Linked DNA regions of Arabidopsis thaliana. The main gene of each other region encodes a partner of the protein of the gene in region 2 in a complex. Each region holds a gene or a part of one and is shown on either strand. Other genes may lie near its edges.

The links.
Region 1: PSRP6 (region 2) and RPL4 share a complex: the UniProt entries of both Arabidopsis thaliana proteins name them as parts of the 50S ribosomal subunit.
Region 3: PSRP6 (region 2) and AT1G29070 share a complex: the UniProt entries of both Arabidopsis thaliana proteins name them as parts of the 50S ribosomal subunit.
Region 4: PSRP6 (region 2) and RPL9 share a complex: the UniProt entries of both Arabidopsis thaliana proteins name them as parts of the 50S ribosomal subunit.

Annotation. Positions count from the first base shown.
Region 1 is NC_003070.9:2,246,028-2,251,872, forward strand, and holds RPL4 (ribosomal protein L4), read left to right. Parts: upstream 1-2,939; 5' UTR 2,940-3,162; coding exon 3,163-3,994; coding exon of another isoform or gene 3,995-3,999; exon of another isoform or gene 4,000-4,145; coding exon 4,146-4,162; 3' UTR 4,163-4,502; downstream 4,503-5,845. Other genes in the region: AT1G07300 (josephin protein-like protein), read right to left, coding at 1-266, 789-978; AT1G07310 (Calcium-dependent lipid-binding (CaLB domain) family protein), read right to left, coding at 1,748-2,806; AT1G07330 (dentin sialophosphoprotein), read left to right, coding at 5,104-5,845. UniProt on the Arabidopsis thaliana protein: This protein binds directly and specifically to 23S rRNA. May play a role in plastid transcriptional regulation.
Region 2 is NC_003076.8:5,904,905-5,909,958, forward strand, and holds PSRP6 (plastid-specific 50S ribosomal protein 6), read left to right. Parts: upstream 1-2,684; 5' UTR 2,685-2,843; coding exon 2,844-3,233; 3' UTR 3,234-3,560; downstream 3,561-5,054. Other genes in the region: CSA1 (disease resistance protein (TIR-NBS-LRR class)), read right to left, coding at 3,970-4,031, 4,168-4,837, 4,923-5,054.
Region 3 is NC_003070.9:10,147,206-10,153,210, forward strand, and holds AT1G29070 (Ribosomal protein L34), read left to right. Parts: upstream 1-2,585; 5' UTR 2,586-2,678; coding exon 2,679-2,892; intron 2,893-3,690; coding exon 3,691-3,950; 3' UTR 3,951-4,202; downstream 4,203-6,005. Other genes in the region: AT1G29060 (Target SNARE coiled-coil domain protein), read left to right, coding at 652-713, 837-960, 1,398-1,454, 2,093-2,254. UniProt on the Arabidopsis thaliana protein: This protein binds directly to 23S ribosomal RNA.
Region 4 is NC_003074.8:16,383,682-16,390,134, forward strand, and holds RPL9 (ribosomal protein L9), read left to right. Parts: upstream 1-2,713; 5' UTR 2,714-2,823; coding exon 2,824-2,976; intron 2,977-3,310; coding exon 3,311-3,438; intron 3,439-3,594; coding exon 3,595-3,640; intron 3,641-3,781; coding exon 3,782-3,879; intron 3,880-3,962; coding exon 3,963-4,010; intron 4,011-4,161; coding exon 4,162-4,282; 3' UTR 4,283-4,318; intron 4,319-4,566; 3' UTR 4,567-5,042; downstream 5,043-6,453. Other genes in the region: ACD1 (Pheophorbide a oxygenase family protein with Rieske 2Fe-2S domain-containing protein), read left to right, coding at 177-590, 894-1,129, 1,224-1,350, 1,439-1,575, 1,659-1,818, 1,891-2,175, 2,269-2,523; CHX4 (cation/H+ exchanger 4), read left to right, coding at 5,043-5,306, 5,397-6,453. UniProt on the Arabidopsis thaliana protein: Binds to the 23S rRNA.

The DNA.
Region 1 (5,845 bases), on a different chromosome or scaffold from region 2:
AGACCTCCCAGAAAAAGAAGAAACCTTCGACGGTGGAGATCTTTTCTTCTTCCTCATCACCACCAGACGCAAACCTTTTGCAAATTTGCATCCAAGATGCTTGATCAATTTTGCTGCTGTCACTTCTGTTTTCCTCGGTAACCTTAATCCGCAGCTTGTTGTGCATCCCGGACTCTTACCATAAGGTCCCTTGATAGCTGTTTGCTTAGCCGAAGCATCTCTCTGAACCGGTCTAGTGTTGAGGTTGGACCGTTTTATACCAGTAGCTGACATATCAAGAGAAAGATAGAGAGAGTGAGAGAAGTTTATGGGAAACAATATGAGGATAATGAGAGATATTTAACGGACTGGTGCTGAGAACAGTTGTGCTGATAGTTCAGGCAAATACGGGAAAAGACATGAAATGATTAATGATGTATATTATCTATAACATCATTACGCTTAGGCCATGATTAAGCACTCAAGACATAAACAAATAAACAACTAACAAAAAAGTGTAACTTCAATCTTATTTTAGACCCTATATATAAAAAGACTTGTAGTTAAAGTGGATCTACAAATTTATAAAGAGAACTATGCCCAAGAGCAAAAAGAGAAGACTAGGTTTAGTTTTTTCTATTTTTCTTTACGGTCCACAGAGGGAATAAACCCTTTGTTTAAGTGAAGAAAAAGGTTAAGCAACCATTTGGTATCATTCTTCTTTGATGATCACTCATGTGTGCACATAAGTTACATAACAATCTAAAAAAGTTTCTTTTTGACTCCAGGAGAGGCCAATATAATCTTACCTTTATGGATGCAGATTCCTTTCATGAGTCTGCGGCTACAATAAAAAGGAGGGATCAAGGAAAGAACAAAAAAACAAGTTAATGGTGGGTACAAGAATATGAGAAAGCATATAATAAACCAGGGAGTGTCAGGACATAAATAGAAGATCACACAATCTGGAGAATAGAGTGATTTTACATGTGAAAACATTCCATTGAGAACAGAACAATAATACCTGCATGATTGTCAGTGATTAGATGCAAATAGCATGAGATTGACTGATATGTATAGCAGGTTACCAAAATGCCAAAAGGGAAAAGAATGCAATAGCAAAACTGCTCTGTCTCATCGTTATAACAAGAGCACAATAGACTTAGCACCAACCGTGTACATACCATTTTACCCAAAACGATCAGAGAGAACATCTTTTCTGCACTGTGATGAGCATGATTCAAGACACATTAATCCAAACGCTCAATGAATATGGAGATCACTGGTTCCAAACGAAAATCACACATTGGTATCATCAAACATGAAATAAGAACCAAAGTCTTTAACCAGCCTGCAAAAATATTCGGCAGAATCGCAGGATATAGGACTGTTCATGTCTGAGACAGAGCATACTACCATACCTAATCAGAGCATGGTTCAAACAATAAATCAACAGTAAAGTGATTCACATTAGAACATTAACCCTAAGAACCCAATAGCTTGATTCAAGAAACTGAATGAAGGAAAGAAATGAGAGATGTTTTAGAAACATGTACAAAGGTACAGAAGGGGTAACACCGAATATCAGCTAGAAAGAAGCAACAAATCAATTCACAAACGAGACATACATATAGACATAACATATACTTCACCAAATTCATATTTTGTCATCAGCCATTTCCTGGTGTTCTAACACCAACAAATCTGATGATAAGTAAAGCCTTAGAAACGCCGCACACTTGTGAAATTCAACAACTTTTTGCCATCCTCAACATTCACGGCGATAATCACGGCCATAGCTGTAGTTTGGCCTAGCTCCGAAATCACTCTCAGACCTCTCTGCAGCAGCTCTCTCTTCCTCTAAGCTCAATCCACCCATCGTCTTCTGCAACTGCCTGTGATCATAAGGAGAGTAATCGACTGGTGCCGATGGACCATTAGGCACTCCGTAGCTAGACAATCGCGAGCCCATAGGTGGAGCTTGTGGCTTGTACTCGGTAACCAGAAAGGCATCAACGGGTGCTGAGGGCCCACTAGGCGGTGGACCGTAGTTAGAAAACCGAGGAGGAGCTAAAGGAGGCTGCTTGTGATCAATCGATGAGAAGGCATCAACGGGAGCAGATGGGCCACTTGGGAGGCCGTAATTGGAGGCACGATCGTACATTGAACGTGGTGGAGGAGGCGGATAATAATACCCGGAATAGTAGTGATCAGTGAATGCGTAAGGAGACGGAGACGGTGACTGTGAGAATTCTCTGTAGTCACGCTGAGGAGATGGAGCGGTGATCGGTGCTTGAGGAGGAGGAGGAGGAGGAGGGCTAGGGGAGTAATAATGGTTTCCTTGAGGGGCAGAATAGTAATCTAGTGGTTGAGATTGAGGACGTGGCGGAGGATGCTGCGGTGGAGGGATTGGTCTGTCTTTGATCGCGAGCTTCAAACGAATCTTCCCCTGTGGTCGACCCGATGGACGAACCAGCTCGAGCGAGTTGATCAATTCCGGAATCATTGACCCGTCCGAGTCAATCAAACGAGCTAGAGGAAACCTAACCGATCCGACGAGGGTTTTCGCCAGATCCGAAGAATTGGAATGAAAAACCTCGATGTTGAGGACCGATTCGTGGACAGATCGGGTGAGAGGAAGAGTAATCCGCTCGTTCCACACCGGTTTGATGGAGGAGGAATCATCGGAGCGGGTGGAGAGAGGGTGGTCTTGGTCAAGATACAGAACAACGTAGGGTTTCAGGTCACCGTTACGCCAGTTGACATTCTTCAGGTGCTTGGCAGAGACGACGGTGACAACCAGGTCGAGTGGCTCCGACGAAGTCATGAATACGGTGCGTTTCAAGACGAGACGGTGGCTTACGCGGTGGTCTTAGCTAACGTGCGCTCGTATCTCAAATATCTGTATCAAAGTCTCAGCTATCATCAACTATCATCGTTTTATCACAGAGTTTTATGTCTCAAAAAACCTGCTGGCTATATAAGAGGCTTTTGACTTTTGGAGTTTGACTCTTTCTTACTAGCGACAGCTGGAGTTATTCATGAACAGGATAGTTATATCCTTATGTCCAAACAGATGCATAAATTCTCACCAAGCACAAGATAGGCATTTGAAGAGTGGATAACACTTTCTCAGTCTTTCTTCTTCTTCTTCGTTGTGATAGGTCAGGTCAGGGAACAACAATGGCTTCTTCTGCAACAGCACCAAATTCGCTATCTTTCTTCTCATCTTCTCTCTTTTTATCCTCCTCTCACCAAATCCCTAAAACCTACATTTCCGTTTCAAAACTCGGCTCCGGCAGAGTCTCGAAGCCGCTTTCTGTCTCTTCCCAGCTAGCGACTCTACCGATTCTATCATTCGAAGGAGAGAAGGTCGGAGAGACGTATCTAGACCTCAAAGCGGCGCCGGAGGATACCGCGCGTGCCGTTGTGCACCGAGCCATCGTGACGGACCTGAATAACAAGCGGCGAGGTACTGCTTCCACACTGACTCGCGGTGAAGTTCGTGGTGGTGGAATTAAACCTTACTCACAGAAGAAAACTGGCCACGCGAGGCGTGGATCTCAGAGAACACCGTTACGTCCCGGTGGAGGTGTGGTGTTTGGGCCAAGACCTAAGGATTGGTCAATTAAAATCAATAGGAAGGAGAAGAAGCTAGCGATATCTACGGCGTTATCGAGTGCGGCATCTGCGGAAGGTGGTGCGATAGTGGTGGAGGAATTTGGGGAGAAGTTTGAGAAGCCCAAGACTAAAGATTTCTTAGCTGCGATGCAAAGGTGGGGATTGGATCCCAAGGAGAAAGCTATGTTCTTGATGATTGATGTGGATGAGAATGTGGCGAAATCGAGTAGGAACATTGGAACCTTGAGGATGTTGACGCCTAGGACACTGAATCTGTTTGATATTTTGAACGCTGATAAGCTTGTTCTGACTCCTGCGGCTGTGGAGTTCTTGAATGCGAGGTACGGTGTTGATGCGGTGGAGGAAGAAGATGACGATGAAGATGAGACGGAAGGTTAGTGTTTTCTTGAAAGGAACTGGCTTGTTGTCGAAATTTGATGTTTTGAATGTTGTGTTTGATCGTTTTTGTCTGGTTTTAATTTCTTGAAGAGGTAGAAATATGATGTGTTAATATGGAAAAGTAATTATTTGTTTGTGTTATGAAGGGTCAGAGGAAGCTTAAGAATGAGTAGCACCCGTAGTTCCAATTGCTTCAAGTGTGGCTTAATTATGAGTTTAATCTTGAGTACATCTTCTCACTCTCCTTGATGAGGTCTTCTCTTTCCTTTTTGTGTCACAACAAGAGAAATGTGTATTTACTTTTAGAGTTTTTCTTAAGAGATCATCCTCAATTTCTTGTCATACTGATTTTGTGTCCAACTCTCAATGAAGGAGTAAGGAGTGAAATTAGATATCATGAGTAACGTTGATTGTGTGTGTATCAGTTAAGATTGAGCAACAAAGATTGACTTTAGTCATCAAGTTAACAAGAAAGAGTGGCTATTATAAGCTTTAAGCGTTGATGTTCATCTTGGTTTTGAAAATCATGAATAGTCTCACACAAATCTGTTAACAACTTGCTAAAAAAAAGGATTAGCTAGAAAACTTAGGAAGTGTCAATAGTGTATGTTATTTACAGACATTTGATGGGTCTTGGTGGGCTTAAGAAGATAGCCCAATCTTTTGAAGAAAGAGATATGAGATGCAAAATCCATGAACTTTAAGGGTCAATTTCTGAACCAGTAAAAAATGTGGTTAAAAGTGTAAGAAAACAAGAATCTTTGGAAACATGTGTAAGAAAGCAACTAATTTAACTCCCGCCCTCTCTTACCAGTTTTCTATTTTGTCTTCTCCGTCCTTACCGTGTGTTCTGAAAACTGAAAAAGAACCAAAACGAAAATCTAAAAAAACCCTTGAAAAATCTATTTTTTATTGACTGGTTATTGTTTCAAATGAAAGCTTGACCTCTCTCTTATTGATCAATTTTCGCTTCTTCAATTAAACCATATTTGTTTTTCCCTTTCAAGCATTTTGATTCTCTAGGACAAAACACAAACCGCCATAGACAGAATGCTTTGGGTTATTATCTCTCAAAGTGTTCTGAGAATTTGAACTGTTTAAAACATGGGAATCGATGCCAAAGATGTCGGAACTCTGTTCTGGAAAATTCTCAGATTTTCCACGAACATCGTTTATAGAAACGTAAGGAATCACCCAGTTGTTTCTGGTGTTTCTGCAATTATCTTCCTCCTATACATTTTTCTTCCACGCCTTTTTTATTTCGTCCTTTACTCTTCTCCGTTAATCGCATGCTCTGTGTTTTATCTTCGGAATCATCCAAGTTTTAAGCTTTTGCATATCAAAACGGATAATTGGTTTTCACCATTTTCCCAAAAGAGATCTGAGGAGGAAGAAACAAGGAAGGCTGACTTAAAGCACCAACGAAGTGTTCGACGAAACGCTAGAAGGAAAGTTGAAGAGGTTGGGAAAGATTGGGACTCTTCTCAGGCTAGTGAAGATGAGAGAGACAGAGTCATTTTAACAACTCTCTATGGTGAAATTCCCAATACTGCAAAATCTCCCAAACTTCAGAAATTCAAGAAAGATGGAGCCTTTCTTGTGTCTGAAGGTTTCTCCTTTGAGCCTAGCTTAGATGAAGAAACTCTTTCAACCACCGGGAATGTTTCCGTTGTGGATCCATCGGAGAGGTTGACTAGTGGTGGTGGCGAAACCGAGATCGAGTGTTCATCGTCATCAGAAGGCGAAGAAGAAGAAGAAACTACACGTGAAGACAAAAAGATTGTAGCTTGGACAGAGGATGATCAAAAGAATTTGATGGATTTAGGAAACTCTGAGATGGAACGTA
Region 2 (5,054 bases):
GGTGTTCGTATAATGGTTGAATTAATCACCAACTTAGGTCATTCATTGCTTTCCCGAAAAAACAATACTACTTAATAATTTTTTACGGCCATCAAAATCTGGACATTGCCTAATGTTTTAGGCCTAAAAAGAAATTGATTATTTATATATTATGTATGGTTATATATCAGTTATCAAATATGGACATGTGATTGATAAAATTAATAAAACTAGGATTCGAAAAAATTGAAAATGGAGAAAACTCCAAACCTGAAGGTCGATTGATGTGATTAAGAAGTATTTTGGCTGAGTAGACCACTTTGCAACGCAATCTCAACCGATCACGACTTTTCAAACATAGTCGTCATATCCACATTCTTATGATTTGCTTGTAATTTTTATATTGCATCGTTAAAGAATACACATGAGAATTTAATAAATGATGCAAACAAAAATTAAAGATCATTAATTTGATAAAATTTTGGACCGCCATCTTTTATTTTTTAGTGAAAAAACCGCCGGCTACTTTGTATTCATCATGATTTGAGATAGTTGAAAATACGTTATAAGTCTTTATTCCAATATTCATGACAAGTAGTTATTCCTTTTGTATTCTTAGGAGTTATGTCATTTACTCTATATTGACACAACGTTACTTTGTAGTCAGATAAATATTTATGCAACGTAACCGATATTTCTATTGAAAACTGTTAACATTTTTTAACATGAAATTATTATACATTTCTATTAAATAATAATCGATCGTTTTTCATAAAGGAAAAGCTTGTTTTACGTATCTTTTAAAATTTTCTAGATAATATATAAATATTTCCGACCAAGATCAATTTCCTTTAATTAAGGTCCGAAATAAAAATATTGATAAACAAAAAAAGTATCCAAAAGATTCCTGGTATATTCATTTAGCTGGCATGGCTAGTGCAGTACAAAATACAAACTCTAATTCCAAGAAAACAAAATAACGCAATAATGCAAAGTGCAAACGGACGAGAGCAATCGATTCATATATGGTTCTCTTCTCGATGTAATGCAATCACATGACTAAAACTGGCTCAAATTAGGCCTTTATACAAGACACTTACCTGTAAATAGACTAATATTTGTTTATATAAAACCATCAAATAATATTGTAAACAAATATATATATATATATGTATGTATGTGTTATATATATGTATGTATGTGTTATATCGTGTATAACTATTTAATTTGTTTAATTCACTTGTTCGATTGTATCTTCTTCTTAAACTTAAATCATCTTTTGGTTATATGTGTGTGTCTAATAACTATGTAATCTTTCTTTCAATTCTAATAAAATAAAACAAGATGTTAAAAAAAAAAAAACTATTTAACTATCCATGGTTGATGACTCGTACTTAAGACAAATAATCAAATTTCGTGATTCTAAAAATGAATGAAATTGATTGATATATAAGTGGGATTAGAAAAAAAAGAGTCAGATAAGTGTTATCTCGCGGTTATAATTTCAACGGTGCTAAGATAAGGATAAGGTTTGCGAAACTATATACTAATGCAACAATGGGTACCGTAGGTTTGTGATACCTAATTTGATCTAACCAACAGAATCTCTTCGTACTAGTGTAATCGAGTGGCTGAGCTGTTGATATAGAGATACGTAGTACTATTATTGTAAATAAAGAACCCAAAGAATCAAATTTGTCGACAACAAAATAAGGGGTGATAATCCGATGCACGTGGATTTGGTGAATGTATTGGATAATGCTAGTCACGTAGAAGAAAGTAATCTTATTTTGGGCCATAATTTTAGTAAATGTTTTTGAGTCTACGTAAAGAAGAGTAATTTTCATGGCAATCGCAATTTTCGCTGACAATTGATTATTTTGATATAATGTGAAATTGGTTAGGTTGGTGATAGTAGCTAGTTTGAAGCCTAACTTAGGCTTGTTATTGAGGTATAATACATTATTAACCATAAGTATTAGACAGGTTTTGGACAAATATATTTATTGGTCGCTTTGGCAGCATTGAAAAACCCTAAAAGCCACTAGAATGGATGTCTTCGAATGTCAGTTCACATAAATGTTCGCTAGCTTAATTTTATTTTCTTTTTTAAAAGAGAGGAAGCAATGATAACATAAACATTTTTATAGTGTTTTTTTTGAAACAAAAAGTTAGTTTTCTTCCTCAAATTCGATAACTAAATTACACCATAAATGAGAATATGTTTTTAGTTAAGTAGTTAAATCCATTTGATTCTACCTTTTTTACCAGAGTTTGACTCTACTAAGTCGTGTTACTTCGCATAATAAGGATTGACTATGAATCGTGTCTTGTTTATAAAAAAAAGAAAAAAAAAATTACACAACAAAGTTAAGAAAATTCAAATTTATTAATTTAATAAGCATACTTTGAATATAAATAAATCCTAAAACTCAAACTAATAAAAAAAGTATTTTTTTGTGTAGTATTAAAAGATGCAGAATCCGAAATAATGTATTTTATTGTAGAAGTGATTCAAAAGACCTTATCTCGTAGTCACTTGTAGCATTATTGGTTTAAGGTTAAAGAAAACATTTAAAACTCTGTATACATCATACATGACATCTTTACAAATTGCAAAATATACATTTTTAATCAGCTACTCTATTCTTAAATTCCTTTAATTAACGAGGTTATACAGTTCGATACGTTTAAGCAACAAAAAGTTCGATGCCACTAATAATTTAATTTTTGTTCTCTTCTTATCTTATAGATTGTTGCAGCCTGCAGGCTTGCAGCATAACGAGTTACATAACTATATACAAAGGCCCAATAGACACCTCAAAGGCCCAATAAAAAAGCCCAGGAAAAACGAAAACGAAGATATGAAGTTCTTCTCTAATCCGAAGCAAGAGGCTCAAACTCACTTTCACTTGCACAAAGATAAGGAAACCATGTCTGTGTCAGCGATCTTTGGTACCGGAATCGTCACCGTTGCTGCTTCTCCGGTTCTCCGCCAATTTCAAGTTCCAAAATTGGGTAATGGAGGAGGATTAGGGATGGTGATAGAGTGTTCGTCGAGGCCACAGAAGAAATCGACGGCTCATCACAGGAAGACGAGGCCGAAGAAGACTCAGCCTTGGGACATTAAGAGAAAGCCTACTGTTTACGCTCCTCTTCCTCCTCTTCCGGCGGAATGGAGTCCGTTCACTCTCGCTTCTGACGACGGTGGTGCTGCCACTGCTGCGGGAGATTTGGTTTCAGGCGCTGCCTAGTTGGTATGAGTTATCTGCTGATTTGGTTGTAATCTAGTTTGAGAACTTTTGTTGTTGTTTACTGTGTTTTCAGTTTTCTGATGTTTGTTGTTGGGTTTGTTTGTGTTTGATTGGTGAATGAATGGACCAAATTTGCGATTTATAAAGCTTCAACCTTTCTCCTCTGTTTTTGAGTTTAAAGGTCTCAACTTTATAGTTTATAGCTCTCGTCATTGTCATCTATGTTGCTTCTCTATAATTGCTTTTTTCCTTTTGGGTCTCATTAATTTCTGCAAGTAGTAATTGAATTGGGATGACAAGAGTTTAAGTTTGATATGTGAAAATGAAAGCACAATGGTATCTGTTTTGTGGCGGTTGATGCTGGAGTTGTTGTCAAATGCTCTGTTTGCTGCCATAGCAATGGGAATGTAGCTTCTAAAGAGTACGGTATAGTATACCGCATTATTGGAATTTTAAAATTTCCCTTTAGATTGGATTCAGGTGAAACGGCAATGTGCTCTGCTCACCATAGTGCAACACTTGGTCTAAACACTCTATTGTAGATTTTTAAGCCAAGTGATCTAAAGTGTGTTTGATGAAGAGTTTCAGCAAAAACATTTTTAGAAATGTTTATATCAGTTATGGGTTGATCACTCTGATTCTTGAATCTATCTTGTATCGGTCTAGTCCCAGGAGAAATTTAGAAGATCGATTTATCTTGCATTGCATGTTTATGGAGTCAATTCCAAGATCAACATCAATGGCTATACATTTCATAAAGCACGCATACAGAGTACATCCCGTTGAACCCATTAAACCCTGACACCTTAAAAGCTTAAGTCAAATCATCTGGAGAAATACACAATGAAGATACAAATACAGAGAGTTCGAAAGAATAAATAGTGTGAAAACAGAGGCAATCTATGAGTTTAACACAAAAGAGTGGAACCAAAACCAGTTTTTTGGGAAGAATGAGCTTCACTTGGGATGTTAGTGCTAGAGTTTTCAATGTAAGTCTGCCACTGGCCCTTTGGAGATTCATTACCTTTTGCTTGATCCTTGAAACAACCATTAGCACTTGGAGTTTTGTTGATTTTTACTTTACCTTTTACATCATCATTCCTTGGGGATGGAACTCTGTTCTCTTCAGGTTCAAACACAAAACTGAAACCGGATTTCAAAACTTCAAGCGTAGCTTCCCCACCAGTACCAGTTCTCACACTAAACTCAAGGGATGCTTTGGTCGGAGCACATTTAGGACCACCTTGGCCTTTAACAAGTTTTATGAAGTCTAAGCAGTTGGTGTAGCCAATAAAGACATGATCTGATTCAACTGTTTCTTCTTGGTTGTCTTGTTCAATCAAACTTCCAACCTTCCAAGTAATGCTGCTGGAAGAGCCCTCTCCGTTATTTTGCTCACAAGAGAACTTGACTATCAAGTTGGCATGACTTTTACAGTTCTTGAATGAGACAACAACACATAGGGCTATCCCAGAAAGCCTATTGTGATTCCAGTGAGGAGGTAATTCAAACTCCACCATAGATCCAATTGCATCGTGACTAAACCATGAAGGCATTTCACATCCAGGAAAGCTAGTGCAGAACAAAATCTCAGGAACACAACTCTGCAAAGTTATACAAAGGGGATATACCATTAACCTCAATTCCACTACGCAAAAGAAAACTCTCAAGGGAGAGGAATAGAGATACCTCATCGCATCGTTTAAGCGCACTAGCAAGCAAATGACACTTCCTTTCAGCATATACTACAATTTCCTCCTTTGCAGCTTGTTCCAATTCATTGCAGTTAGTGAAAATGAACGAGGAATTGACATGCTTCAT
Region 3 (6,005 bases), on a different chromosome or scaffold from region 2:
TCGTTAACGTTTATAAAACAGTTGGTTAACAATCACTAAAAATTAATATATTAAAAAAAGACTAAAAAATTAAAAATAAATACCGATGGATAAACTAACGACTACAATGCAAACACGATTCTATTATCTTTACTCTTCGTTAACAACAATTAGAAAATAACAACACCATCATGAAAAAACAACATTTTTCTTGTGTAATTGGGTATCGTTGATGCTTACAATACAACGAATGTAGAACGAACAGAGTAAATACCTCTCTTTTTCAATGACATCATTATGAACGAATGAATTTGTGGTCCACTAAAGTTGGGATCGGCCCGTTAAAAAAGCCCATAAACCAAAAAATATTGGCTGACGAATATTTCAAAACTGCCATTCTTTATTTGTTTACATAACTCAAAAACATGACGATAATCAACCAATATTAAAACGCCACGTGTTCCCTCGCGGTCATTTATCATTGAATCGAAGAGCACCCGCCCAGCTTGTTTCAATCGTCGTCGTTTTTCTCTTTGATTTGCCTGAAATTTGTTCTCTTCTTTTGGTTGCAATTTCTCGATCTCGAATTTTCTGAGAGAATACAAAACTTAATTTCTCAAACCCCAGCAGATTCGAATTTAGGGTTTCTTACACCCATTAGATTTCGCGTCGATGGCGTCCAATCGCGGTGCGGGTGGTTCTCTATACGGCGGAGCTGATCCGTATAGATCTAGGTATATTTCTAATATTATCAGTTTCTCCTTTTCTGAAATCGATTCTGGATAGAGAAAACGGGTCCTAGATTTGGTGAATTCTGCGTAAAGTACAAGTATTTATCTTTGGTGTGTGATTTGTAGAGAAGGGCTAAGCACTAGAAATGCTTCAGGTTCAGAGGAAATTCAGCTGAGGATTGATCCTATGCACTCTGACCTGGATGATGAGATTCTAGGTCTCCATGGCCAAGTCAGGCAATTGAAAAATGTAAGAAACCCTCTAAATCCCATTTCGATCTTTCTACTTTTTATCTATAGTGCCATTTGTATTGTCTTCTTGTGGTTCTGAAGGATCATTGTTCTCTTTAAGCTTTAAGTTGATCATATGAATTTGGAAATTTGTCTTCTTTTCGGTTTTGACAGTGGTTAGAGCTTGGTTAATTAGTTGTGTAGGTGTTTTTTTGTTCAGGGTACTATGATAATGTTATTGTTCACAATACTTATCAGTCAGTCCACGATTAATTAGTTGAATCCACTTGTCTGATGTCTTTTGTATACATCTGTGGTTATTGTTTTATATCACCACCCTTCTTGAAGGAATCAGTCGACATTCTCTACAATTCCTTGTGTTTTACCTTGCACTTTTGCGCATTATTTATCCCTCATGATTTTTTGTTATATCGTTGATCGCTTATTTTGATGCAGATTGCTCAAGAAATTGGGTCAGAAGCAAAGTCTCAGAGGGACTTCTTAGATGAACTGGTATGTTGTTGATGTCCCTTTAGTTTTTTCTTTATCCATCATAGTAAATTGCAATGTAAGCACTTAACATCAGTAACATGCATTCATTTACTCTTCTTTACCTTTAAGATGAATCACTGATTATATATAGTATATCCGAATATCGGTTTCCTATAACTTGTTTCAGATGTCTCTGTTCATTATTAGTTGGGAAAATATAGTTTCATCCTAACATATGTTAGATAACTTTAACCGTAGCTTACAAAACCAATGAATCTTGATAAATCCAAAGTGTAGATTATGTTTACTTAGGATCTGGTCTGAACGCTGGTGGTGGGTAGGATTAGATATCTTCAATCTCACCTAGTTTGGTGAAATGCAGCAGGAAATGGTTACAGCTTATCATTGAGTTCCTGCCACTTTGTCAATGAGAATGTTGGTGTTGAATGTGTTCATTGCTTTTAGTTCGTTCTAGTTTTTTCTTTTGTTACCTAGAAGAACATCCTAGAGAAGATAATGACAAACAACTAGATTTGGTAGTGAGACTGCAGAAACAAGCATTTAGTGCTGTTATAAGCAAAATAAAATAAGTAGACGAAATGTTGTTCTTGTCTGAAACATAAAACGCTTCAATGGTATTTTGTTTTTGTTTGTGACAGCAAATGACATTGATCAGAGCGCAAGCAGGGGTGAAGAACAACATAAGGAAACTGAACCTAAGCATAATCCGTAGTGGTAACAACCACATAATGCACGTAGTTCTTTTCGCGCTCCTCCTCTTCTTTATCCTCTACATGTGGTCCAAGATGTTCAAAAGATAGATAGAGAGACTCATGGCATACTTGTGTTACCCCCCAAAAAAAAACCCTTGATGAATGTTGGATAAGTTGTAGAAAATATCCTCTAGATTACAAACATTTTGTGGTTCTTCTCGTTACCTGTTATATAGAGTGCCTGTTTTTAACAGTTTACATGAAGCAAAATTGTATCACAGAACAACAGCATGAGATATTTTAGACCAGTTCAAATCTGGCCTTAACTTGATTAATTACCCGTCCGGTCCAATTCAGTATTGGGCTTTTATAGTCTTATGGGCTGAAGTGTCGTGATACGTGTATTATTATGGTTGGTTCTTATGCGTAAGTTTATGGTGGTATCGTCCGTAGACGATAGAGGTTCCACACTATGTAAAGGAGACCGGAGAAACAAAGGAACTGGGTTTGGAGATAAGAAGTGGGAACTTGAATGGCTTCCTTATCCACTTCCGTTGTAGCTTCGGCTTCGTCGCGTTTATGGAATCCTGCTGCCTCCAACGGCAAGATTTGCGTTCCTTCTGCTTCGCTTTCTCTGCGTACGGGTTGTAGACGGAGTTCGTCCTCTCTCACTTCTTCCGCTTCTTCGCAATTGCTTCATTGCTCGTTTCTCTCGTCGCCTGTTTCCCTAGCGTCTCCATTTTCTGGTACATCTTAAATTGGTTCGAATTATTGTTTGTGTTTAGCTTCTGGTGATGTAATGTATCAAGTTCTTTTACCCAATTTTGATTTTTTTTTCTGGTTCTTTGGGTTTGGTTGATTTATCACTATTCTCGTGTGTTAGGCTCTAGCTTACTTTGCAAACACATATATTCGAAGCTTTTTTAGAAGAATTTGGGAATTGTGAAACATAGTTGTCAATGGTGAATTCGATTTGGGAGTGTGAGTGAAAGAAGCCATTTTGTTTGTTTCTGATATTTCTTGTTAAGTTTATAACAACAAGTGAAGATAACATTTTGCAACTTAAGCCTCAATTTCTGATATCTTAGCTCATGTATTTGTAGCCGCAAGTAAATGTTGTTTGATTTTTAGTACAAAAATCTTTTAGCTCATGTCGATTATTTAGGTACAATGGTTATAGATTTGCTTCAATATGTCACATGAACTTGTTCCTCCTCCTTTGATCATAATTTTCTTGTAAAGTATATTGTACGACCATTGTAGCTAGGCTAAGATTTGAGCAGTGAATTATAAGCTTTGCCAATTTAGCAACAGACGTTATGGTTATAGCTCAAGAGTTAAAAGGGTAACCTAGGAGAATGCATTAAAGTCATTTTGGATTTGTCTGGGTCTTGATTCTGAGCAGTGTGTTGAGAGTTTGGTATTGTATGGTGAGTTCTTTGGGTAATTAAAGGAAGGAGTTTACCGGTTCCAATATTATCAGCTTGATACACTATCAAACCTATAATGTCACATTGATCAAAATGGTGTTGCTGTCTTTTCAGGTTTGTCCATTGCGTTTGATCTCAGCAGTCAAACTAGTGGACTGAATGGCCAGAGACGCAGAGGCCTTGTGGTTAGAGCTGGAAAAGCTGCTCTGTGTCAAACTAAGAGAAGCAGATCAAGAAAATCTCTAGCTAGGACTCATGGTTTCCGTAGAAGGATGAGGACCACTAGCGGTAGAGCAACCATAAAGCGTCGACGTGCCAAGGGACGTTGGAACCTCTGTCCCAAGTCCAACCCTAGCAGCGGCAAACGGGCTTGAAGTTTGTTTCTCTCTTCACTCTATCTGTAATCTTGTTTCATGTGCTTTTTTTCCACCAGAAGATACAATGAGAAACATGGTTCGTTGAGCTCTTTTCTGCGTTTTAACTCTCTTGCATCCTTGATTCGTTTATAAATCAATGTTCTTGGAATTCATCACATGTACTACTATACTACTTGCTTCATTGAATTTGTTACTACTCGAAGTCTCAACTTCAAAGCCATAATTACTTAAAGATCTCTTCTGGCCACCAGGATAATTCTGGTGTGTAAGAATTGTTCAGATTCCAAGTAGTGTTAATGGTTGCTGAAAGTTGATGTATATAGTTTGGGGTTCAATCCCTGAAGGATTTTACTTTCATTTACTAGTTTTATTTCAACCTAACAATTACTTTTAAGTACTAACCCTAAATTATATTCCCCTTAAAAAGAAAACTGCACCAAAAACAAACTAGTTAAGAAAAATGAAACCAAAACTAAAAAAGAAAAGTTCCTTCTTATTGGAAATTAGGGAGGGATCAGATTGTGTAAAAAAGAGAGCGCCCAATAGTCGTAACAGGCTTTGGGCGGAACGCTCTTCTCGCAATATAAGCGAGTTTTTACCATTCATCATATCCCCTTTAACTTGCCTGAAGGATCATGCCTTTTACGTAATTAGCTCTTTCTTTTTTATAGGCATGTTACTACCATCACTATCTCTACCTAAACGATGTGGGACAAAATAAACTATTCTCTTGTTTGAAATAAGGTTTCTTATCTCAAATTCATATATCTTTGTTTTTTAAAGTGGGTCTATAAAAGGCCTCTGTAGCTCTCTTTTTTTAAGGTGGGCCGATAAAAGGCCTCTGTATCCTTTTTTTTTTTTTTTTTTTTTTTTGTCTACAATGTAATAGTCTAAAGTTTTAAACCTATCTAGATGAATGAGCTATTTATCAAATATTCGATCCGTGTCACTCCTCTACTCATCAAACTCTTCATAGGAAGGAAAGTCTCCGGTCATAACATAATTCACATACGTTATTATGTTTAAAAGGTGTATGATGTGATGGACTAGCTAGTAGCTAGTAAAAGCCGTGAGTAGGATCTTAGGACGAGATGGCATGAGAATTCCATTTCTATTGCATATTGATGTTCGTGAAATGGTTGATATATGTTTACATTGAGCAAAACACAACTAAACTCAGCTAAAGTCCAAACACGCGATTTTTTTTTTTTTTATATAGTGAATTCTATCCATCATATTACATGGAAAATATCTGTAATTTTTCCAAACTTATCCAACCACCAAAATGCACTTTAAAACTGATGAAAAGTGCAACCAGACTAGTGACACACATTCCATCGAATGAAGAGAAAAGAAAACCCACCAAAAACAGATTATCCAAAAGTGATCAAATCCAACAGATTGTTGGTTATCCCGACACGCCAACAAACTTGTCCTTGGGGATTGCATTTTAAGAGAAAACGGTTTCTCATAACCGTTGGAAATTATATATAGTCTATATATTCATATGATAGTTTCTAATATATAATAATATTATTATTTCAAATTTACATTATAAATAAGAGTTATCTGACACATGATGTGAAAGTCACCTAAAAAGATGTTTAAAAAAAAGGGTAAATTGCGCACAGTAGCCGTTGACTCACTTTTAATTTTAGATTTTGACATTGTGGGCTGGGCCTTTCATTTCTTAGCCATTCAGCCAAAAACTGATCAAAATGCCCCTGACGAAACTGAACCCGGTTTGTACGTACGGACCGCGTCGTTGGAATCCAAGAGAACCGGATTTGTACGTACACTGTTCATCGACGAGAAATGCATTAAATGTTTTCTAGGTTTCGGCGAATTTGACACTTGAGATTGAAATTAAAAATTTTAAAAATTGGTTGGGCTCAGAAGTTTTTCATGCTAAAAAGTTTTGACAAAACTAAAACTCATGATTACCTATTATAATAGAGATTATATTGTAAGATATTTACATAATTGAGATTAGAATTCTGAGAAAAAAACGAAAATCGAAATTGTGTTACGGTGAAGAATCTGAAGTTTTCA
Region 4 (6,453 bases), on a different chromosome or scaffold from region 2:
AAATCCATTTGTTCATAGTTTCTCGTTACAAGACAACAAATGGTATCAATGTCCACGGAAAAATTGCATACTTGCACGCAATCTCTTCTTCTTCTTCTTCGTTCTTCTCGTAGCTTGAAATAAGATTCATCAGAAGAGTAAATAAACATCAAAATCCAACAAACCAAACTAGAAAAATGTCAGTAGTTTTACTCTCTTCTACTTCTGCAACAATCACCAAATCCCAATCCAAAAAGATTCCCTTTTTATCTCCCACCACAAAATTCCCATTAAAGGTCTCAATTTCTCCATCAAGATCGAAACTTTTCCACAACCCTTTACGCGTGGCGGCGCCGCCGTCTGTACCCACTTCGGATTCGACGGAGGAGAAGCGGATCGAAGAAGAATACGGCGGAGATAAGGAAGAAGAAGGGTCTGAGTTTAAGTGGAGAGATCATTGGTATCCAGTTTCTTTGGTTGAGGATTTGGATCCGAATGTGCCAACCCCGTTCCAGCTCTTGGGTCGAGACCTTGTACTCTGGTTTGATCGGAATGATCAGAAATGGGCAGCCTTTGATGATCTCTGCCCTCACCGGCTCGCTCCTTTATCTGTAATCTCTCTCTCTTGGAAGAAACAGTTCAAGTAGTTTATAACTGTGATTTGGATTTGGATTAGAAGAATAAATTATTGTAGATGATTGTTTATTGTAAAGTTTTGATTTTTAAAGTATATCAATTAGGTTAAAAGCTTCAAAGAATAAAATATTAGGGTCAGAATCAGAACAGTTTTGTGTTGTTGTTATTGTTATGACTTATGAGCAAAAAGAAGTAAACTTTGTTGTGTATGTAACCAAAGTTTTGAGCTTGACTCATTGATGTGTTTGTGTATGTGTTGATGCATTGTGGTTATGTAGGAAGGAAGGTTGGATGAGAATGGACACTTGCAATGTTCGTATCATGGATGGTCATTTGGTGGGTGTGGATCTTGCACTAGGATTCCTCAGGCTGCTACTTCAGGTCCTGAAGCTCGTGCTGTTAAATCCCCGAGAGCTTGTGCTATTAAGTTCCCGACAATGGTGTCTCAAGGTCTTCTCTTTGTGTGGCCTGATGAAAATGGTTGGGATAGAGCCAATTCAATTGAACCCCCTAGGTAACGAAAATGATTATCTTCTCAGGCTTCCATGAACATAGCATACTCGTTTTATTACTCGTTTTATTAAATGCGTTGATCTTTAACATAAAAGGTTGCCGGATGATTTCGATAAACCGGAATTTTCGACGGTGACAATTCAAAGGGATCTTTTCTATGGATATGATACTCTCATGGAAAATGTATCTGATCCTTCCCATATAGATTTTGCTCATCACAAGGTGTTGTTTTCTTTCTCAAAGCTCCCAATGTGTTTGCATTTCCACTAAGGGATATTATCCTCAGGCGATGATTACGTGTTGTAAACAGGTTACAGGAAGAAGAGACAGAGCCAAACCATTGCCGTTCAAGGTGGAGTCAAGTGGGCCTTGGGGTTTCCAAGGTGCGAATGATGACAGTCCAAGGATAACCGCAAAATTTGTTGCTCCGTGCTATTCTATGAACAAGTGAGTGTTGAGTTTGCTCACTATACATAATAAATGGTTAGCATACAGTTGCATAGAATGAAATTGTGTATCCTTGTCTACAGAATTGAGTTAGATGCGAAACTACCAATCGTCGGTAATCAAAAATGGGTCATTTGGATTTGCTCATTCAATATACCAATGGCTCCAGGAAAGACCCGTTCCATCGTTTGCAGCGCCCGTAACTTCTTTCAGTTCTCTGTACCAGGACCAGCTTGGTGGCAGGTAAAACAAACTTTGATTCCATCTCTAATCCGATTTTACTACGTAAATTCTTCTGAAGCTGTTCCTTGTTAGGTTGTACCAAGATGGTATGAACACTGGACTTCGAACTTAGTCTATGACGGAGACATGATCGTACTTCAAGGACAAGAGAAAGTATTCCTCGCTAAATCAATGGAGTCACCAGACTACGACGTGAACAAACAGTACACAAAGCTCACATTCACTCCAACCCAGGCAGACCGTTTTGTTCTAGCATTCAGAAACTGGCTCAGACGGCATGGTAAGAGTCAGCCTGAATGGTTCGGCTCCACCCCGTCTAACCAACCTCTCCCTTCCACTGTCTTAACCAAGCGTCAGGTGAGCCATCAATCATGCATCCTAACATCATTTGATTGATCTCTATATATATACAAACACATGTCTGAAAACGTGACAAATTTGAACAAACAGATGCTAGATAGATTTGATCAGCATACACAAGTATGCTCTTCCTGCAAAGGAGCTTACAACAGTTTCCAAATCCTCAAGAAGTTTCTCGTTGGCGCGACGGTTTTCTGGGCCGCCACGGCTGGTGTTCCTTCTGATGTTCAGATTCGACTGGTTCTTGCTGGTTTATCACTGATATCAGCTGCTTCTGCATATGCTTTACATGAACAAGAGAAGAACTTTGTGTTTAGAGATTATGTACATTCTGAAATCGAGTAGATTTGTTGTGTATATGTATAATCATCATACAAAGTACAAACATTGTAAATCAAAATCCAGAGGAACTTTTAGCACTATAAAACCGATTTAACCGTTAAATTTTGGGTACTCAATTGAACTTTATAAAACTTTTAAGTAAGAAAACAGAAAAGTAGAATAATTACGGGGTCAAATTCGAAACATAAGAAAAACATTCGTCACTTCACTTGAGCAAGCACACGAAAAGCCGATAAGAAGATAACAATTACTACAACTGTGCGCTCTTGTTATCTCTGCTTTGAAGTGAAATCAGCTTTGGCTATGGCTTCTTCGACAGCTTTGTCTCTCTCATGGAGCTCCTCTCCTTGTTGGTCACACAGCTTCAATGGCGGTGCAAATGAAACCCTAAAAGTATCTGAGCGAAGGTTCAATTTTGAAGTTGTTTCCCAGAAGAAAGCTAAGAAACTTCGCAAGGTAAAAGTCATTACCTTTCATGGGTTTCCTTCAAAAATTTGATTTGGCTTTTAGTTAGTTTTTGATTTGAGCTTGTGTTTCTGAAGAATTTTGGTGGAGATGAAAGTAAAAGACTTGAAGATGCTTAATTTATGGGTTTAGTGTAAAAACATCGTCTTTGTTCTTGTATCAGCGTAGTTAGGAAGAAAGATGAATCAACATTAGAAAAGTAGACGCCTTTATATTACCAGTTTAGTTTCAAGTAGTGAAGATAAATTGGTTTGAAGCTTTGTTTCTGTGTAGAGAAATGGAGTAAGTGAAACACTAATGGTAAATCTTGTTTTGTGTCTTTAAGGTAATTTTGAAAGAGGATGTGACGGATTTGGGTAAGCAAGGGCAATTACTTGATGTGAAAGCTGGATTTTTCAGAAACTTCCTCTTGCCTACTGGAAAGGCTCAGCTTATGACTCCACTTCTGCTCAAGTAATTCACCTCAACTTCGAAATTTCCGTTCGCTTTTGTATGCTCTTACTATTCGGTTCTAAGGCCTTTGTATTTCGAGGGACTTTGCTACAATGTTGTAAGATCAACAAGAAAAACATCATTTTCTTTCTTTTTGTGTGTGTGTTTTTCCCCCAGGGAATTGAAGATGGAAGACGAACGGATTGAGGCAGAGAAGCAAAGGGTAATCTGATATGAATACATTGATTGTTTTTATTTGATCATCATGTAAAGTTTTGGTGTTTGAGTGATCACCAAAAAACTCTTTGGTTATTGATTTTCATCTGTTTGTTGGTTTTTTCTTTGCGTGGAACCTTTTTTGCAGGTGAAAGAAGAGGCACAACAACTGGCGATGGTATTCCAAACCGTTGGTGCTTTCAAGGTTAAACGCAAAGGCGGTAAAGGCAAACTGATATTTGGATCGTAAGTCCTACTTAAGCAAATCTAGATTTTAACAGTCTTGAGAATAGTGTTTAGCCTGTACTTAACTTTATATTTTCCTGCAGTGTCACAGCTCAAGACCTCGTCGACATCATCAAATCACAGCTCCAAAAGTAACAACATAGAAAATTTTACATTTCCACATAAAAAGCTACAAGCTTTCTCATGTGGGCGGTTTAGTTGGATCAGTCTACATTTGGTTTTTAGTGTTGTTCGAAGAACCTAATATGGTTTTATCTGCTTCTCTGTGGCTGTGTTTTGCAGGGACATCGACAAACGCCTTGTCTCTCTCCCAGAAATCCGTGAAACCGGAGAATACATAGCCGAACTCAAGCTTCACCCCGATGTCACTGCTCGAGTTAAGATCAATGTTTTCGCTAACTAAACCTTCAACGATTCAAGACTCCTACTGCATCCCAAGGTATTTCTTGATTTTCCATGATCATGTGGCTTTTAACCATAAATGAAACTAAGTATTAGTTTTGTCTTAGTTCGTGTCTTAATTGGCATGAAATAAGTAGTTAAACCGATGTTCTGAACTCTGAACATCGGCATATAAACATTGGTCGGGAATATTGGCTGTTGAACGGAGTTTTGCGTTTTAAGGTCTAGCCGCAAACGCAGATGCTAATTGTCCATCGCACTGTGTTTGGTGTTTTGAACTTGCAGGAACGTATAGAGAGGGAAAAGAGAGTAGCCTCTTGTGGTGAGGATTGAAGGTTGTGAAGTTTTTCCTTTAGATTGTTTGATGCATTTGTATTTTTGCTATTTTTGGAATCTGGAAACGCTAAAAGTATAATATTCTCTTGCAAGTTATGATATTTACTTGAAGTTATATTGTATTCATTTGTCTGTTGAAGTGATGAGAATGCTTAAATTAACACTAACAAGCTGTTTAAAAAACTAACAAATAACCAGAAATCTGAAAAACTATGTCGCCGTCTCTTGTTCCCACAAGATTGACTATTTTTAGAGAGTTGTTGTTTAATGACAAAACCCAGATGTTTTTTTGTTTCACTGCTTCTCTTCAATTCTGTTACCAAAACCTTTTTTGTTTAAGACAGTTATAGCTCTTGATTCGGTTTTTATAATCATATGATTCTCTTGTTTCTATCATCTTTGTTCTTGTTAACAAGTTTTGTCCAATGGAGTTTAATGGTGATAGGATCCCTTACCTGAGAGATACATGGAGAGATGCAAACATGATCTGCGGTATCTTGCCTATTAACCCGAGCTCGAGCGGGCTATGGCCCTCCCCGAAGCTCCCAGATCCTCAAGCAAACATTGAGTTCTGGAATTACATGTTTCCACATGTTCAGATCATTTTCCTTATCGTCACTATTCTCTGGCAATTCTTCCATTTCTTCCTCAGACGTCTCGGCATGATTCGTTTCACCTCCCATATGCTTGTAAGAACTTTACTCAATTCTTGAATCTTCAAATCTCTCTTCCTCTTTGTTTGCATTGCTTATGTTTGATATTCTGTGTGGTTTTGCCAGACTGGGATTCTCTTGAGCAAGTCGTTTCTTAAGGAGAATACACCGGCTAGGAAATTCCTCTCGACGGAAGACTATAAAGAGACTCTGTTTGGTTTAGTGGGTGCATGTTCCTACATGATGTTTTGGTTCTTGATGGGAGTTAAAATGGACTTGAGTTTGATCCGCAGCACCGGGAGAAAAGCTGTAGCTATCGGTCTTTCCTCAGTGTTACTCTCTATAACGGTTTGCGCCTTGATCTTCTTCTTGATCCTAAGAGATGTAGGGACGAAAAAGGGAGAACCGGTTATGAGTTTCTTTGAAATCATTTTCATCTATTTGATCCAATGCCTTTCGTCGTTTCCTGTAATTGGAAACCTTCTTTTTGAGCTTAGGCTCCAGAATTCAGAGCTTGGCCGTCTCGCTATGTCTTCTGCAGTGATCAGTGACTTCAGCACCTCGATCCTCTCTGCGGTTCTAGTCTTTCTAAAGGAACTCAAGGACGATAAATCTCGGCTTGGATCAGTTTTTATCGGAGATGTTATTGTTGGAAACCGTCCTATGAAGCGTGCGGGCACAGTGGTCTTGTTTGTTTGTTTTGCCATATACATATTCAGACCATTAATGTTCTTCATTATCAAGAGAACACCTTCTGGTCGTCCCGTAAAGAAATTCTATATATATGCAATCATCATTCTTGTCTTTGGATCAGCCATTCTTGCCGATTGGTGCAAGCAATCTATTTTCATAGGACCTTTTATCTTAGGCTTAGCTGTTCCACACGGTCCACCTCTAGGCTCTGCAATACTTCAGAAGTTTGAGTCTGTGGTTTTCGGCACATTCCTTCCTTTCTTTGTGGCTACCTCCGCGGAAGAGATCGATACTTCGATTTTACAGTCTTGGATAGATCTCAAGAGTATTGTCATCCTAGTGTCTGTATCGTTTATTGTCAAATTCGCTCTCACGACTCTCCCTGCCTTCTTATACGGTATGCCAGCAAAGGATTGCATTGCTCTGTCTCTAATTATGTCATTCAAAGGCATTTTCGAGTTCGGTGCTTACGGTTATGCGTATCAAAGAG